Lonchura striata: one gene and its partner. The protein of the gene in region 1 purifies or fractionates together with the protein of each later gene. This does not show direct contact. Links are inferred from orthologs where the notes say so. Each region holds a gene or a part of one and is shown in the gene's direction. Other genes may lie near its edges.

Region 1 (7,309 bases):
TACTAAACAGCACAGATATGAGATTTATTGACATATTTGGCTCTACAAAACATAATCTATTATGAAAATGTGATTTCCTTTGTGCACCTGCACTGGACACAGCTCAGTGGTGAATGGGGAGTGACCCACTGACTGCCCCCAGCCAGATGTGATATCACACAGGCAGCCTGAAGAAAGCTGGTTCAGCTTCCTCCTGCACTGCCTGTCCTCCCCAGCTCCCCCAGAACAACAGAGCTCAACACTTCCCATATCACTGACTCAGGAATTTAGTTACCAAACTAAGATTTATTTTGTTCTTGCCAAAGCAGAAGCACCTTAGTGAGACATGAACGAGGACTTGGGGGATATGAAACATCACAAATACCAACACCAGGGATGGGTGAGAGTTTTAAAATCAACTTTCAAACACACCACTTTACTGGGCACCTCAGCTCTTTGTTCTTCCAAACACTTGGGAAGGAAAGATGTTTTTTATACCAAAAGAATAAAACTTAAGCAAAGCATCTCTGTACTGCTGGACAGAATTTTCCTTTGTATCCATTTCCATGTGCACAAATACATGATCCAGTTGTCAAAGACATTTGGAATAAATACCAGAATGACTTCCAGAAACACTGCAAACTATTTTAGGCACAAGTTGTAAGGGATTTTACAAACTCACAGACTGCAGGAAAAAGAGATATCACCAAGGTGGGTGGCTGAGCCCCAAGAAAACCCAGAAGGCAGAAAGGCAGCAGGAGAACAACATCAAAAGCAAAACACCTGGAGAGCTCACAAAAACACCATCTCATAGCAGTGAGCCCTCAGCATGGCAGAGTTAGGGAAGGAAGTGTCTCTCACCTCTTTGGTGGCATGGTTCCCCACTACAGCTGCTCCGTACTTGCCTTGCTTCAAGTACTGCCCATTTGTACTGAAAGATAAGGGAGACATTCAGCTGCACGACTGTCCCTAACTCAGAATTCTTTAGAGTTCAGATCCCTTTCCTCAAGTATGAAATGTCAGGCAGTCTTGCTTAGCTTAGAGACATTCCTGCTCGCCCACAGGCAAGAGCACACGCTGTGCAGTGAGTTGAAAACTGCCCTCACAGATCCAGGGCAGAAGTGTTTTTCCATCATGGCAGCACCAAACAGTTATAGTGCTCTCTCTCATTCTGCTCATGCCTCAATTCTCAAGTGCATGAACCACAAGGATCTGACAGAGCCTCCTGAAGCACTGCACATCTCAGCCCAGCAGCCAGGACACAGCTCCCAGCCACAGGCAAACCCACAGCTCGCTCTTTATCTCAGAACCTCTTCACCCAGAGCTGCAGCTCAGCAACTGAAGTTTTCTTGAGCAGAACTGCCATTGCCTTGCAGCATTCCCACCATGCAGATATGTCTGAAAACAACTGTCTCTTCCCATTTATCCAGGGATATCTCCCCTGTGGGATGAGGGACACAGACTGCAGCAGAAGTCACTCACTATCGATACGCGAGCACCGCGGTGGCCACCAGCACCGAGGGGGCTCCTGAGGCTGCCGGGGCCACTGGAGCCTTCTGGGGCTGGCCTGTGGGGACAGAGACAGGGACAGCTGTCAGAGGCACAGGACTGGCTGCTGGCACCACCACAACACCTTCCTTCCCCCAGGGAAAAACAACTCCAGTAGGAAATTACAAAGAAACAAAGACTTGTGTTCCAAAGTCACCCAAGGGCAGCTGAAAATCCAGGTGTAGGAGGGCACTGGAGGAAAAGATCCCTGAGGAAAGCTCAGGAAATTATTTGCTCTCATGCTCTTCACCAGGGCCTCTGTTCTCCCCACACACATGTGCTGCTGACTGTGTTCCCCATACTCAAGCCCAGTTACTCACCAGCTGCTGTCTGACCCTTCTTGGGCTGCTTTGGTGCAGTGAACTGGAAGAATTCATTTCCCTGGCTTGAGACTGTTTGATCCAGGCCAAAGAGAGAGGCTAATCTGGCTCTAGAGAGGGAAATAAAACCATTTAGCCTTATTTAACATGGGCATTATACTTTGGAAGTAAACAAAGGGCTGCAGGTTAAGTTGCTTTATGCTAATTAACCATTTAATTTTGAATAGGCAGAACTTGTAGATGAAGAGGTTGGGAAAGTGACACAATTGTGTTTCATTTCCTCAAAAATCGACTGAAGGTGTAAGAACTGAAACTACACAAAAAAAGAAGTTACTTTGAAGCAATGACTAGAAGTAGCTTGATATGAAATAGTTGAGTCTTACAATACCCAAAATAATATTTGACAGAGAAACCACCATTCAGGTCCTGGAGTCTTTTGTCTTTAAATGTCCAGGCAACACATTCTTCCATTAACTTTTAAAATGGGAGACACTCTCCCAGCTAAGGACAGAGGGTTTAATGCTGGAGGTTATTCCTTCAGGATACATTGTTTGAAATTTCACAGCTTCAAGGCCAGTTATGCTCAACCTATTCCTGATATCACGGGGCAAGGGAATAATTCAAACAAAGGATGCCACCACTGCCAGTGAATCTCCTTTGAAACACAACTGAACTTTCTATAAAGAGAGACGATTAGTTTATAAGGAAAGCTCCTGGAAGGGGGCGGGGAGTGGAACTGCTGGAGCGGCAGCAAGTCAGCGATACAAAACCCTGGATCCCGGCGGAACCGCGCGGGTAGCCCGGGAGGAGCCAGCGGCGGAGAGCGGCCCCAAACCGCTTCCCCCACGCCTCATTCAAGCGCAAACACCGAGCTCTCCGCCCTGGCGACCCCGGAGGCTCCCAGGGGAGGGGTCCCCGAGCAAAGCGGAGCCCCCAGGCCGGGTCTCGAACCCGCCGCCCCGGGCACAGCGGGGCCGCTCCGAGCCGCGCCGCCAGCCGGACCCTTCTGGGCTGCGAGTACGGCGCTCCCGCAGCGGGACGGAGCGGGGCACGGCCCGGCCGCACCCCCGGCACAGAGGCAGCCCCGGCTGGGCAGGGGCGGCCTGCCCGCCCTCACCGGGGCCGCGGGCCTTCACCGGGTCACGGCCCCGCGGCCTGCCCGGGCCGCCGCGCCCACCCGGCGGCGAGGAGCGGCTCCCGCCGCGCCCCCGGCGCTCACCCGCTGGCCGGGGACAGGAAATCGGCGTCGTCCTCCTCCGCCGCCGCGAACATGGCCGGCGGCCGCCGGGGCGGGCACGGGCGGCGGCGGCGCTTCACGGCCCGGCGGCACCGGCGCGGGGGCGGGGCCTGGGCGGGACGTCACGGGGCGGGGCTTCGGGGCGGGGGTGCGGGTGGAGGCGTGGCTTAGCGGCGCTGAGGGGCGGGGCTTGACGTGACGGGCGGAGCTGCATGGACACATCAAAGGGGCGGGGCTTGTCGGGCACGGCGGAGGGCGAGACGGGGCTGCCGGGAGGGGCGGGGCTTGGCCGGAGGGGCGGGGCTTGGCCGGAGGGGCGGGGCAGGGCCGCGGGGGCGGGGCTTGGCCGGAGGGGCGGGGCTTGGCCGCGGGGGCGGGGCTGCCGGGAGGGGCGGGGCAGGGCCGCGGGGGCGGGGCTTGGCCGGAGGGGCGGGGCTTGTCCGGAGGGGCGGGGCTTGGCCGGAGGGGCGGGGCTTGGCCGGAGGGGCGGGGCTTGGCCGGAGGGGCGGGGCTTGGCCGGAGGGGCGGGGCTTGGCCGGAGGGGCGGGGCTTGGCCGGAGGGGCGGGGCTTGGCCGCGGGGGCGGGGCTTGGCCGCGGGGGCGGGGCTTGGCCGGAGGGGCGGGGCAAGGCCGCGGCTGGTGGCGCTGGCGCGGTGAGTGACGGGTGGGCTGGGGGGGAAGGTGGTGCCCCCCGTCCCGCCATCCCGCCTGAGGGGCCCACGGCCGCCCCCCATCCCCTCAGGGCGGGCCGTGGCACCCCGGGCCGGGGCGGCCCAGGGGCCCGAGCGGATGGGAGCCCTGGGACGTGAAGGTGGAGGCGCGGGGCGAGCTCGCTGTGGGAGCGGGCTGCGCTCCCCGGGAGGAGCGCCCAGCCCGGCCCTCCGGCTCCAAGGCGGGCCCCGCTGCCCTTGCCGCGAGGAGCCGTGGCCCGCCGGCGCTCCGGGCTGAGCACAGGGCCCGCGGGCTCCGCTGAGGGCCCTGCGGGTCGGCGGGCTCGGGCGGAAGGGCTGCGGGCACCCGGGCGCCGCTGTGCTCCAGCTTCGCTGTCTCTGGGATACCCACGGGCACCAGCCATGCGCTGTGTTCTTAGCACCGGCATCGTTTATTGTGTGGATAAACGTCTGAGCCGCCCCTCTGAAGCAGTTTCCCACGTTCACCTCGTACCTTGAGATATACACCTTTTTTTTTTGTTTGTTTAATGAGTTTTTTGTGGTGTGTTGTGGTTTTCCTGTGTTTTCCCTCTCTTGGAAAGCTGGTATCTCTATGTGCTTTGTGAGACCGACTGGCTTTAATTTCGCCTGAGATCCAAATGATGTTGAAATGCAGAAGAGCAATGTGCAGGAGGTCAGAATGGCACTAAGGGTTGGTATTTCCTGGCGTTGGGTATTTGCTGGCACTGGTTGGAAGTTTGTTCTGTCGGTTACTGACTGGATATTTCAGTCTGAACAGGAAGTTGCCCGGTCTGTTGTGGAGCTGAGTTCGCAGTAATTCAGGAGTTTTATTGCAATGATTGAGATATCAGTAATTCCACTTCTAAAGGGAGAAGATAAAGGGGAGTGTTACACAGCTTTTATATTGCAGAATGTGTGATGAATTTAGAGTGAAACCTGGATAGGGTTAGAATCTTATCTCTGTTAAAAATCCAAAACCAAACCCACAATAATTTGGTGTAAATTCCCAGTGGCATGAGATTGTCCTGACCTTGGTAAGGCCCTTGGTAAGGCAGGTGGGCATGAAATGCAGTCCCTTGGATGAAGAGAGTTTGTTGCTTTGGCTCCTGTATTTGTATCTGGCTGGTTGTTAAGGTAGTTTTAAGTGGTGAAGACCCACGTGGCTAAGTCCCGGTGTGGCACTTCAATTTAGGTTTTTTAGGTACAAGTATCACAGAATATCTTGAGCTGGAAAGGACTCATCAGGATCACCCATTGCAGCCCCTGTCCCTGCCCAGACCCCCAAAATCCCACCCTGGGCATCCCTGGCAGCGCTGGCCAAAGGCTCCTGGAGCTCTGGCAGCCTCGGGGCCGTGCCCATTCCCTGGGCAGCCTGGGCAGTGCCAGCACCTCTGGGGGAAGAACCTTTCCCTGAGCTCCAGCCTGACCTGGGTTAACCTGATTCCATTCCCTCAGGACGAGCAGAGCTTGGAGCTGCCCCTCAAGAGGAGCTGCAAACCCTGGTGAGTTCTGAGCTCAGTTTCCCCTTCAGGATGAACCAATCCTAGTGCCTTCACCACCTTCCTAGCCCAGTGTTATACCTGTGTATATTCTCTATTTTTTTTCCTGGGATTCAGCACTGGCCAGTTTTAATGCCAGTGGTTGGGAAGAGGCTGTAGCAGCACAATCTGCAGCACTCAGCAAGCATCGCATCTTATCCACTCATCTTTTTTTAATTTAAACTTTGTTCATAGTCCTCATCTGTATTTGAGTGTGCAGTGGGCTTGTGGTTGCACACAGTTCCCAGGCAGAGGCCAATTCATCCTGTTTGTGCCCAAATTCCAAGCTCCAGAATGCTTAGTCCTGCTTTTTTTTTTTTTTGCCCAGGTGGATGAAACACTCCTCACAAGTGTTTATTAAGTTGATTTTTAGTCTGTTTGATCTTAACTTGCCTCTATTTGAGCCTGAGGTCAGTAAAGCTTTTGCAGGATTTTTCATGAGTAACAATATGGGATCTGATAGGGTAAATTAGCCTTTAAGTTAATAATCCCAAATCCTGTAATTTATGATGTCATTTCCTGAGGCATTCATCAAGCTTTGGACTCAGCACTATTTTTTCCCCATCCTTCATTAAAAAGGGGGCACTGGGAATAATGTGTGAATGTTGCTGTTTAAATGAAGATTGGTTTTGTATTAAGGATTTATTGGTGAAGATGTGACTGCTCTGCTGTACAATACAAAATTATGCTTTTTGCTACAAAGACAAAAATTGTTGCAATAAGCAGGGTTTTGCTTCATTTGTTGTCCTCCCCCCAAAAAACAAGGTACTGAAAATATAAGAACTAGCAGGAGTTGCAGGCTCCCACACAACTTTGTGGTGAGAATGGAGGAATTTTGTACAACCATATCCTAATGAGATTTGGTTGCTTTTCATTTCATATCAGATTTCTCATCTAGGCCAGATTCTTAACTAAGCTGAGAATTAGGATAATTTCTGCCAGTAGAGAGGAGGAATTAAATCACCTTTCCAAGTCACTTTTGCACTTTTTTATTTTAAAGGTATCATCTCTGCCACTGATTCTGACTTGCAGTGGTACAAGGACAAAGTTTGTGGGGGGGAGGGGTTTGTTTGTTTTTTGTTTTGGAAAGAGGTTTGGGGGGATTTTTCACTTCACTTTTCCCTTCACAATGTAACTTCAAGATTTGGATTAGTGAGACCCTGTATCCTTGAACAAAAGCTTAATGCCTGAGAAGGGAGGTCATTGAGTATAATCTTTGTTAGTTTTATATTACAAGTAAATGACAAAATCTACCGTGTTCACAGGGTAAGTTTTGAGCAGGGCCCTGAGGAGTTTCCTTTCAGCTGGCTTGTTTTCCAGTCAGACATTATGTCCAAGAGAAGACAGAACTTTTTGTTCTTTGAACTAAAATGAGCTATTTTCTCCTTTCCTCCTTGGTTTCTCTATTTGCTGTGAAGACTCCTCTACCCAACAGAAAGCTGCCATGGCTCTGCAGAGCTGCCTTCCCTGCTCTGGCCTGAAGGTCACCTGAAAGTTAGCAGGAGCCTGCAGCAGAATTTTGGGAAGTTGAGCTGAAGCACATTGCCAGCATGAACTCCACAAGTCTGCCAGGAAATCACTGGGAGTCTTGGCAATTTTTTCTTAGGGAAAAAGACTGTTTTATGCTGTTTTTATCTGGAAAATTCAATCTTAGTTAATCTACTCCATTGCCTTTTGTTTCAATCTAATTTTCTGGAAATGTTCCCAATCAGGTCCTGGAGAACATGATGCCAGTGATTTTTTTCATTAACCTTTTTTTCATCTGAAAGCTGAAATCTGCTAATGCAGAGAATAATGGAACTAGCTACTGTAAACAAATTAAACTCCTATTTTATTGTACTTTCTAAAGCCTTTCATTTGTTGGTCCTGGAATTAGACTTTCCTGGTTTAGAAGCCAATGTAGAAGTGGGAGGTTGTGATGAAATAGCTCTCTTTTAGTTTTGCTTTTTTATTTCTACAGTTTTTTATGTAATTTCCCATTGTCTTTTCTTCCCTGTGCTATCAGTTCCTATCTTC
Region 2 (8,039 bases), on another chromosome or scaffold:
AGCAGGGCTGTCACTCTTGCCTGTGCAGCAGTGGTTGTCACCCCCGCACTGAACTGTCACTAGAGCTCAGCCCTCTGGGACAGAGGGACGCGCTGTTCCCTCCCGTGTTCCCGCCCCGCTTGGAACTCACCAGGAAAAAGGAGGGGATGAGGTGTCCGCTGCTGCCGGGAAGCAGCAGGGGATGATGCCAGGGCAAGGGCCTGGCTGTTGGGGCAGGGGTGGAGATGGGCAGCTGCTCCAAAAAGTCATGAGAGTACTGGGAAGAGGGGATCTCTAGGGCAGGTGTGAAAAGAGAAATGCCCTCAAACTGGAAATGAGGGAAAAAGCCTCAATCATCTCACGCCGAGAGTCCCCTGGCTACACCACACTGCAGCTCTGGTGAGCACTGCCTTCATTAACAAGTGTCTTCAACAAGAGACTTTAATTTCATTTTAATTTTTTTTAATTAAATTTTTCATTTTCCCCTGCAGTATTCCACTACAAAGTTCATACTGGCAATAGTGTGGGAGTACAGTTTACATGACAACAATAGAGGGACCTGCTAAGACTCTGCTCCTTTTACTTCCCCCAAAGTTCATATAAATCTATCATCCACTCTAAGCCACTTGTTTCCTAGAAAATGTGGGATGTGATAGAAGTTTCAATTTGAATATTGTTCTGTTGTTCTTTGAGGAAGCCTTCTGTATGTCCTCTCTGATAACATCAGAATCAGACTGGTAGATAATGATTCGGGGTATTTTTCTCATTCACCAGTTCACTGTAATTAGATATGAAACCATTTAGCTCTGACCACTGCAGACCTGATTGAATCCTCTTATTGCATCTTGTTCTCTCCCCCGCTTTCTACTCTTCTCAAATATTTGAGATGTGCTCTGCCACACTCCTGTCAGGATTGTCTGAAGCAGGAAGGGGTAAAAGTTGTCCTGTGTTTTTCCAGTGCTAAGAAGAGTCCTTTAAAACTGAACAATATCCCAGGGTGGGGAGACGGGTATTGGGGAAAGAGGCACCGATTTAGAGGCTGACAACAAAGTTGCATTTGTTTTAGTGAACATGAATCAGGAAATCCTAAGGCCTTACAGTGCTCTTCTCAGAAGTGTTTTTGAGTCACTGCAGCAGTTTCTCTGTTGTTTGGCTCGTCCCTTTTGAGTTCAGGCCTTTCCAGCAGGGCTCCAAACCCCTTCTCCTTGCAGCTGCCTGCTGTGGGCTGAGCAGAGCTGGAGGCTGTGGATTTTTCCCTGCAGCCTTGGACTGCAGCAGCCCTGGCAGAGCCCGACAGCTGCTGTGCTGCCAGGCTCCCGCTGCTCCTGTGCAGCAGTAAATACCTGCTTTGCTCAGATCCTTGACAGTGATGCAGAGACACTTAAAGATATTTGCTAAGTGCTTGTGAATTAGTTTTTGATTAGCGAATAATTAAATAAATTCCAGCAATCCAAAGGACACGTGCCCAGTTTGATTTGCATACGTAGCACTTCTCCATGGCAAGACAGGAGCTCAATTCATCTAATGTAAGTTTAAATTCTCAGTATCTTAATTTGATTTACCTTTGACACAGCATTTAAATAGCAGCAACATCTAATCTTGTGCTCCCCAATAAGGCTTCAGTAAAAACTTACTGCCAGATCTAATCCAGGGTTAGCACACACAGCCTTATCTCTGGGTTCTTGCTTCAGTGCCTTTGAGAACATGCTTAATTTAATCTGAACAAAGGCACTGCCATCGGGAGCCTCCAGCCTGGCTTTCCAATCCAGAGTATCTTTGTGATTAAATTTGGTGCAGGCCACTGTGTGTACAATGGATCCAGTAAATGATTTTGAAGTGCTCTTCAAACAAAATTCAGCTGGTTCTTGGACACCGCCTGTACCTCCGAGACATGAGGGATACCACTTTAGTTGGGTTTTTCTTAAGTGACATACATGTTCTTTGGAAAGAGGTCTGGGTTTTTTTGGTTAATAGGAAATGTTAACCATTATTAAGAACTATCACTCCAATCCCTTTTCCTTCCCACAGTGGAAGGAACTCCTTGCTAGAGGGTTCTGCTTCCTCATTTGCACCAAATACCCAGTCAGCTGTTTGTGACTATAAGCTGGTGGCTGATTTGTAATTATAATTTCAGTCATTAATTTTTTTCATTATTTTGCTGTCATTAAACCCCCTATACTGCCTGATAATCTCTACTACCTGAGAGTGGGGTTTGTGTGAACTGTAAGCAGAGGTTCTGTCTTGACATCACAGATAAAAATGGAATAATTTTTCAAACTGTGGTGGCTGCAGAGGCATCGGGTCAGAGTTGTCCTGGCAGGGTCCCTCACTGCTGGGTGTAGACAAAACAGGCCTGGCAGTGTTGTGTCAGGTCTCTGGTGAGCCTTGGTACTCAGGGGTTGGCTGTTGCTCTCTAGTAAGAGCCTGAGGATAAACAGTCATGGAGAAACTGGCCTGAAAACCAGCAGGAATTGGTGTGGAGCTGCTTACCCCACCACTGAAGCTGCTTCCTTCTTTAATTGCTTTCTCTAACTGCTTTGCCAGTTTGGGGCTGGCTGTGTCCCAGTGCTGCTCGTTCCAGGCAAAATGGGGTTTGGTCATTATCTTTGTAATTCAGAGCAGAAACCAAAACATTAAAATATTATTCCTGGATGTGAGGTCACACAGGAACACGACAGACAAGCCAGGAATTAAACCCCATCTCCTCGGGTGAGAGTTAATACTTTAAGAAAAAGGGATCCATCACAAACAGAGCATGGCTTTAGGGAGACCATGGAATATTTCACTTAATCACAAGATAAACCATATTTCTCCAGCTGTTGCTGGTATTGCCAGCTTATGCTTTTGATTGACATGTTGCCATGCTTGTTGAATTAATTCTCAAATGCTCTAAAGTTTATTTTGTATCTAAACTGAAAGCTGCTTGGTGAAGGAACTATGTTAAGAAGAGATATGTAAAGGTAGGGCAGGAATAAGAATATATATATATATATATATATATATATATATATATATGTGTGTGTGTGTGTGTGTGTGTGTGTGTGTGTGTTAAGGGTGCTTATTTCTTCTTATTCTTAGCTAACTGACATTACATTTACCTTTACTCTTTAAATGATAAGTACATAACCAGTGGCTGATGAGTGAAGTATATTTCCACCAATTTAATTTATATTTTTAAAAATAACTTAAATCTCCCCCTCATCCACATAAGAGAGGTAAAAGGTGTCTTTGTGGCAGATTTTATTCCTGAAAATGATACTTTTTTTTTTTTTTTTAATATGCCACAAATCTAAGATAAAAAACAGTTCAGAAAAGATAAAAGGAAGCTTTATGGAGCTTATTTCACTTGTAGTGTGTTTGCTCTTGGGTTACAGGAGGAGAAATTTGGCCTTGGAGCCCGTGTCTCTGTAAGCAGCATTCCTGGCTTTGCATATCAGATATGAAATTTGTTTGGAATGTTTGCTGTAAAAATACCTACGCATGAACTTACATCAGTGAGACAGCAACTCCGGCTTGACCTTTCTGCAGCCTGATGTGGCAAGATCATTCTGTGTGGAAACAGTAACTTAGGGAATGACTTGCAACTGGTGTTTTCACAGGCTTTGTTTCAGCACAGGAACAATTCTTGGAACAAGCTGCCCTTAGAAATCAGTGTTTTCTTTCAAACTCCTTATTTTCTGCTCGGGAGTGACCCAGGGTAGGTTACCAGGCTTAATGTTGTAACAAAGCCATTTTGGAAATCCTCCCATTCTGTGTCAGTCCCGGGCTGAATACTAAAAGCAAACACGCTGGAGAACAGCAAAGGGCAGGGGTGGTTTTGATCTTTTTACAATTCAGCCCGTGTTTCTGTTTCAGACAGTGAAAAGACATTTTAATGGAACAGGAACCTCCTACTGTCACCCCATGCCTGCAGCCCTGTGACTTAGAGGACTTTTTGAGGAGAACCACCGTGGCCTGAGAGGTTTGAGGGGGCTGAGGGGCTGATCCCCTACGAGTTTTTTGGGTGTTGAGGAGCTGGTTCCCTATGCAGTTTGAGGACATTGAGGGGATGATCCTGTGAGGTTTTGGGAGGCTGAAGGGCTGTTCCCTGTGAGGATTGGGGATTGAGAGGCTGTTCCCTGTGCGGTTTGAGGGGGCTGAGGGCTGATCCCTGTGAAGATCGAGGGGGCTGAGGGCTGATCCCCTGTGAGGGTGGAGAGGATCAAGGAGCTGTTCCCTGTGTAGTTTGAGGGCACTGAGGGGATGATCCCCTGTCAGGTTTTGGGGGGCTCATACCCTGTGCGGTTTGAGGGCATTGAGGAGATGACCCCTGTCAGGTTTTGGGGGGCTGATCCCCTGGGAGGATCGATGGGCTACTCCCTGTGTAGTTTGAGGGCACTGAGGGGATGACCCGTGTCAGGTTTTGGGGGGCTGACCCCCTGTGCGGTTTGAGGGCATTGAGGGGCTGATCCCTGCGAGGTTTAGGAGGGGCTGATCCCCTGTCAGGACCGAGGGGATTGAGGAGCTATTCCCTGCGCACTTTGAGGGCGCTGCGACTCCCACCCTCCCACAGGAGCGAGCCTGAGGCCGTTCCGCCGGGAGCCCGGTGGCACCGCAGCCTCTCTCCTCTCTCCGGTGCACGCTTACAGGAAGCGCTGACATCTTTCGCAAGCGACACCCCTGTGCCGGGGCAGAGCAAAATCCTTTCCTCTTCACAGCTCCCTTCCTCTGCGGCCGAGGAGCGAGCCCGGGGCCGAGGAGGGAGCCCGGGGCCGAGGAGGGAGCCCGGGGCCGAGGAGCGAGCCCGGGGCCGAGGAGCCCCGACCGCCGCTGCCCCTCAGCCGCCCCTGAGGGGACGCGCGGCGCCGTCCGGGGAGGGGGGGTGAGAGGAGGGAAGAGCGGGGGGTCGGCGTCAGCCAATCACAGCCCCGCCCCGGCCTCCCCGCGCCGCACGTGACGCGGCGCGCGCCCCCCCCGCCGCCACGTGACGCCGGCCGGCGATGGAGGCTGCGGCGGCGGCGGCGGGGCGGGCGCGCGGCCGCCGCCTCCTCCCCCCGCCCCCCCGGGCGGCCCCGCCCCCCCGCCCCCGTCGGTAGCGGCTCCGCCGGGCGCCGCCGCGGCCATGGACTGAGCAGGCAGCCATGGGCGCCAAGGAGTCCCGCATCGGCTTCCTCGGCTACGACGAGGCCCTGCGGAGGGGTGAGGCGGCGGGGGAGGGCTGGGTGGAGGGCGGCGGGGAGGGGGCGCGGGGCCGCGCGCTGCCCCCCGGCAGCGGGCGGTGAGGCGGCGCCTCCATGGCGGACCCCGCGCGGGGGCACTTGCGCCGTTCGGGGGGCTCCTTCCCCGCTCCACCCCGCCGCTTATTTATTTATTTATTTATTTGTCTGCCTTATCTATTTATTTACCTGTCCGTCTCTCCTCCTTGAACGCGGCCCCGGCAGGGCCCGGTCCCCGCCGCCGGGTACCGTCCCTCGGCCCGGCCTCCGGCCGTGCGCGGGCAAGGCTGGATGAACCGGGAAGCGCTGCCATCCCCCCGGTGTGACAGGGCTGTCACACAGCTCCCGGCTCTGCCGGCCCTGCCGCTCCTCGTGTTTACTTCGCCGTGCTCGGGGATCGCGCATCTGCAGCTCCGCATGGCGAGATGAATGTGGCGTGCGTGGCTCGGGCTCGCTGTCGCTGCTTTAGCCCGGCTGAGGGTCCTCCCGGAGGATTTAAAGAGGAACTAGCCAAGGGAAAACATAAACAAGCTTGAATCCTGAATGCTTGCAGCTGCAGGGCTCCAAGGCGACGGCAAGCTACACCCTGGAAGCTCCCTGGTTCTGGAACTGATAGCCAAGTCCAAGGACAAAGAGGGATAGGAATTGTCAGCAGTAAATGGTTTGCAGGGAGGACAGGTGTTGGTAATTGTTGCCCTATTGTGCGTTCACGTGATGCAGCGCAGGTAAAGCAGCTCACCTGTTTGATATTTAAAGCCCTGATAAAATTCATAAGCACAAGCTAATCTATGGCTGCCCTTTTTATTCCTGCTTGCATGTGAGAGGCATGTCAGGAGTGATAAGGGAGAACTGGGAGGAACTACTGGGTGTTAACTGAAAAAGAAACAAATGGACGTGAAATGGGGTTTTTGTTATATATTTTCTATTTTTTTTTTCTGGTGGAGCCTCTGAGGGATGCCATGTCAGATAGGAAATGGAGCAACGTAGTGTCAAGCAGGAGAAACAAACGTATGATTCAAAGTAACTTGTTACAGATTTTAAACATAACAGCCCTGAAGGATTTTCACTGCTAGTGAAAGTATAGGAAGTCTTTGAAAGCTTTGGTGCACGTATTTTTAGAAGAGCTGGAGTTATAAATGCAGCTTGGTAGAGGTGTGAAGTTAAATATATCAGGAAGTGTTTGAAATAAGCTGTTTGGTGGAGAATACAGTCATTGGGTCACGATGTATATTCCAAAGTTCCTAAATAAGAAAAAACAAGTGTTTGGAATTTTAAAGTTATATTTAAACTCTTACAGTGTTTCAAAATCAAGGCAATTGATCTGGATGCTTCATAAGTAATAAGATTGATTTCTTCTTAATAAGAAATTATTTCTGCGCAGTGAATATAATACTTTTCTTTGGTGTTTTTTTTTGGATGTTTTTCTTCTCTATATGAGACATTCAATACTGTTTTTCTGTAGGAGACCAGAAAGATTGTTTTAGGCACTCTGTTATAAATTGATGTTTTGCTAAATAACTATGTTATTTGCTTAACCAGTGAATCACTGTATGTATAAAACAGGCCAGTTATCAAAACATTATTTGTTAGACCATTCCTACTTCCACAGAACCTTGCTGGTACTTGTGGCATTTCTGTGGACACAAACAGAGATAATGGATAAAGGTAAATGTTAAAAAAAAAAGCCAAATGTATTTATCTCCAATTAGATCCACCTTCTCTAACATTGTTTCCTGGTTCTTAAATGGCAAGAAAGTTTTGTATTAGGTGGTATTATTTGTACAGGTTTTTCTGCTGGGAATTCTTTATAAGTAATCAGTACCGGTTACCTGTACTTGTGGTAATCATTCAGAATGCTGTGATCGTATTTTTGAGTCACCACTTTGAATTTCAGTTGCTCAGAATATCGGGGGAAAATGCTGCTTTTGTCAGCTTCAGAAAATAAGGCTGACTTTTAAGCAGTTTCATTTATTGCAATCCCATTTTGGTAGTAACCAAAGGTTGTGAAGGTGTGGTTAAAGGCTCACAATATAAATAACTGTAGCTAAAATGTAACTTCTGTTCAAGGAGATGAAAGTGCCAGAGCGGCCTGGTGCTGATGGCCTTTTCCACCCTTGAACAGGAGACAGTCCTGCTGTTTTATTTTCCTCTCTTTCCTTGGCACAGGCAGCTGACACTGCTGTGGTGACGTGGCCGTGTGGATGGGCACGGTGAAGTTGTCTTGTGTCCACCAGTGCAGGTCACAGGAGTCTCATCAGCCTCCCTGAGATCTGTGTCTGCCTGTGCAGCCTGGCAGTGGAAGGCAAGGGATGCTATTTTAGACATCTCTTTTTATGAGTTTTGCCAATTGTGGTCATCTTATTTATAGTAGCCAGAGGCACAAAGTGGTGTTGCTGTGGAAAAAGGTATGAGATGAGAAGTGAGCAGAGCTATTCCTGACCCCACAGACCTCCTTCTGAGGATGGATTCTTTGTGAGGAGATGAAATCCTTGGGCAGGTCATTAGAGGTGAAGTCAGAAGTGCTTTGTTCCAAACTGAGCATAAAATTGTCAGTTATTTTATCAAGCTGAATTTGTGGTGGCATGAACTGGTACTGTGGCTCTCGAGCTTGTTGCTTTCTTCTCAGACCTAAGCTCCAACAGCAATTTTCTGCCTATGACAGTGCTGCAAGTCAGCCAGTGTCCTGTTTTGGTGGGATTTTCCAATATTTATTCCTGATTTCCCACTCCTCTCCTACCACTGTGTCCATCAGGCTGTCTGGCTGCTCTGGCCTTGCCAAGGAGATGGTGCTCTAAAGCCTGCCTTATCTTTTACTTCTCCTGCTGCCAGTCTTGACACCCAGCTCCTCAAAGGAATGTCTTTTGG

Evidence for each region.
Region 2: the proteins of SLC31A1 (region 1) and USP32 purify together in Homo sapiens (co-immunoprecipitation; 3 studies listed by BioGRID and IntAct, with this or other methods). This does not show direct contact. The link is inferred for Lonchura striata from reciprocal best matches to the Homo sapiens genes SLC31A1 and USP32.

The regions. Positions count from the first base shown.
Region 1 is NC_134624.1:4,672,533-4,679,841, forward strand, and holds the start of SLC31A1 (high affinity copper uptake protein 1), read left to right. Parts: upstream 1-4,062; 5' UTR 4,063-4,404; coding exon 4,405-4,446; intron 4,447-4,518; exon of another isoform or gene 4,519-5,257; intron 5,258-7,309. Other genes in the region: FKBP15 (FK506-binding protein 15), read right to left, coding at 841-910, 1,462-1,546, 1,848-1,957, 3,067-3,119.
Region 2 is NC_134622.1:9,920,503-9,928,541, forward strand, and holds the start of USP32 (ubiquitin carboxyl-terminal hydrolase 32), read left to right. Parts: upstream 1-5,036; 5' UTR 5,037-5,099; coding exon 5,100-5,157; intron 5,158-8,039. UniProt on the Homo sapiens protein: Deubiquitinase that can remove conjugated ubiquitin from target proteins, such as RAB7A and LAMTOR1.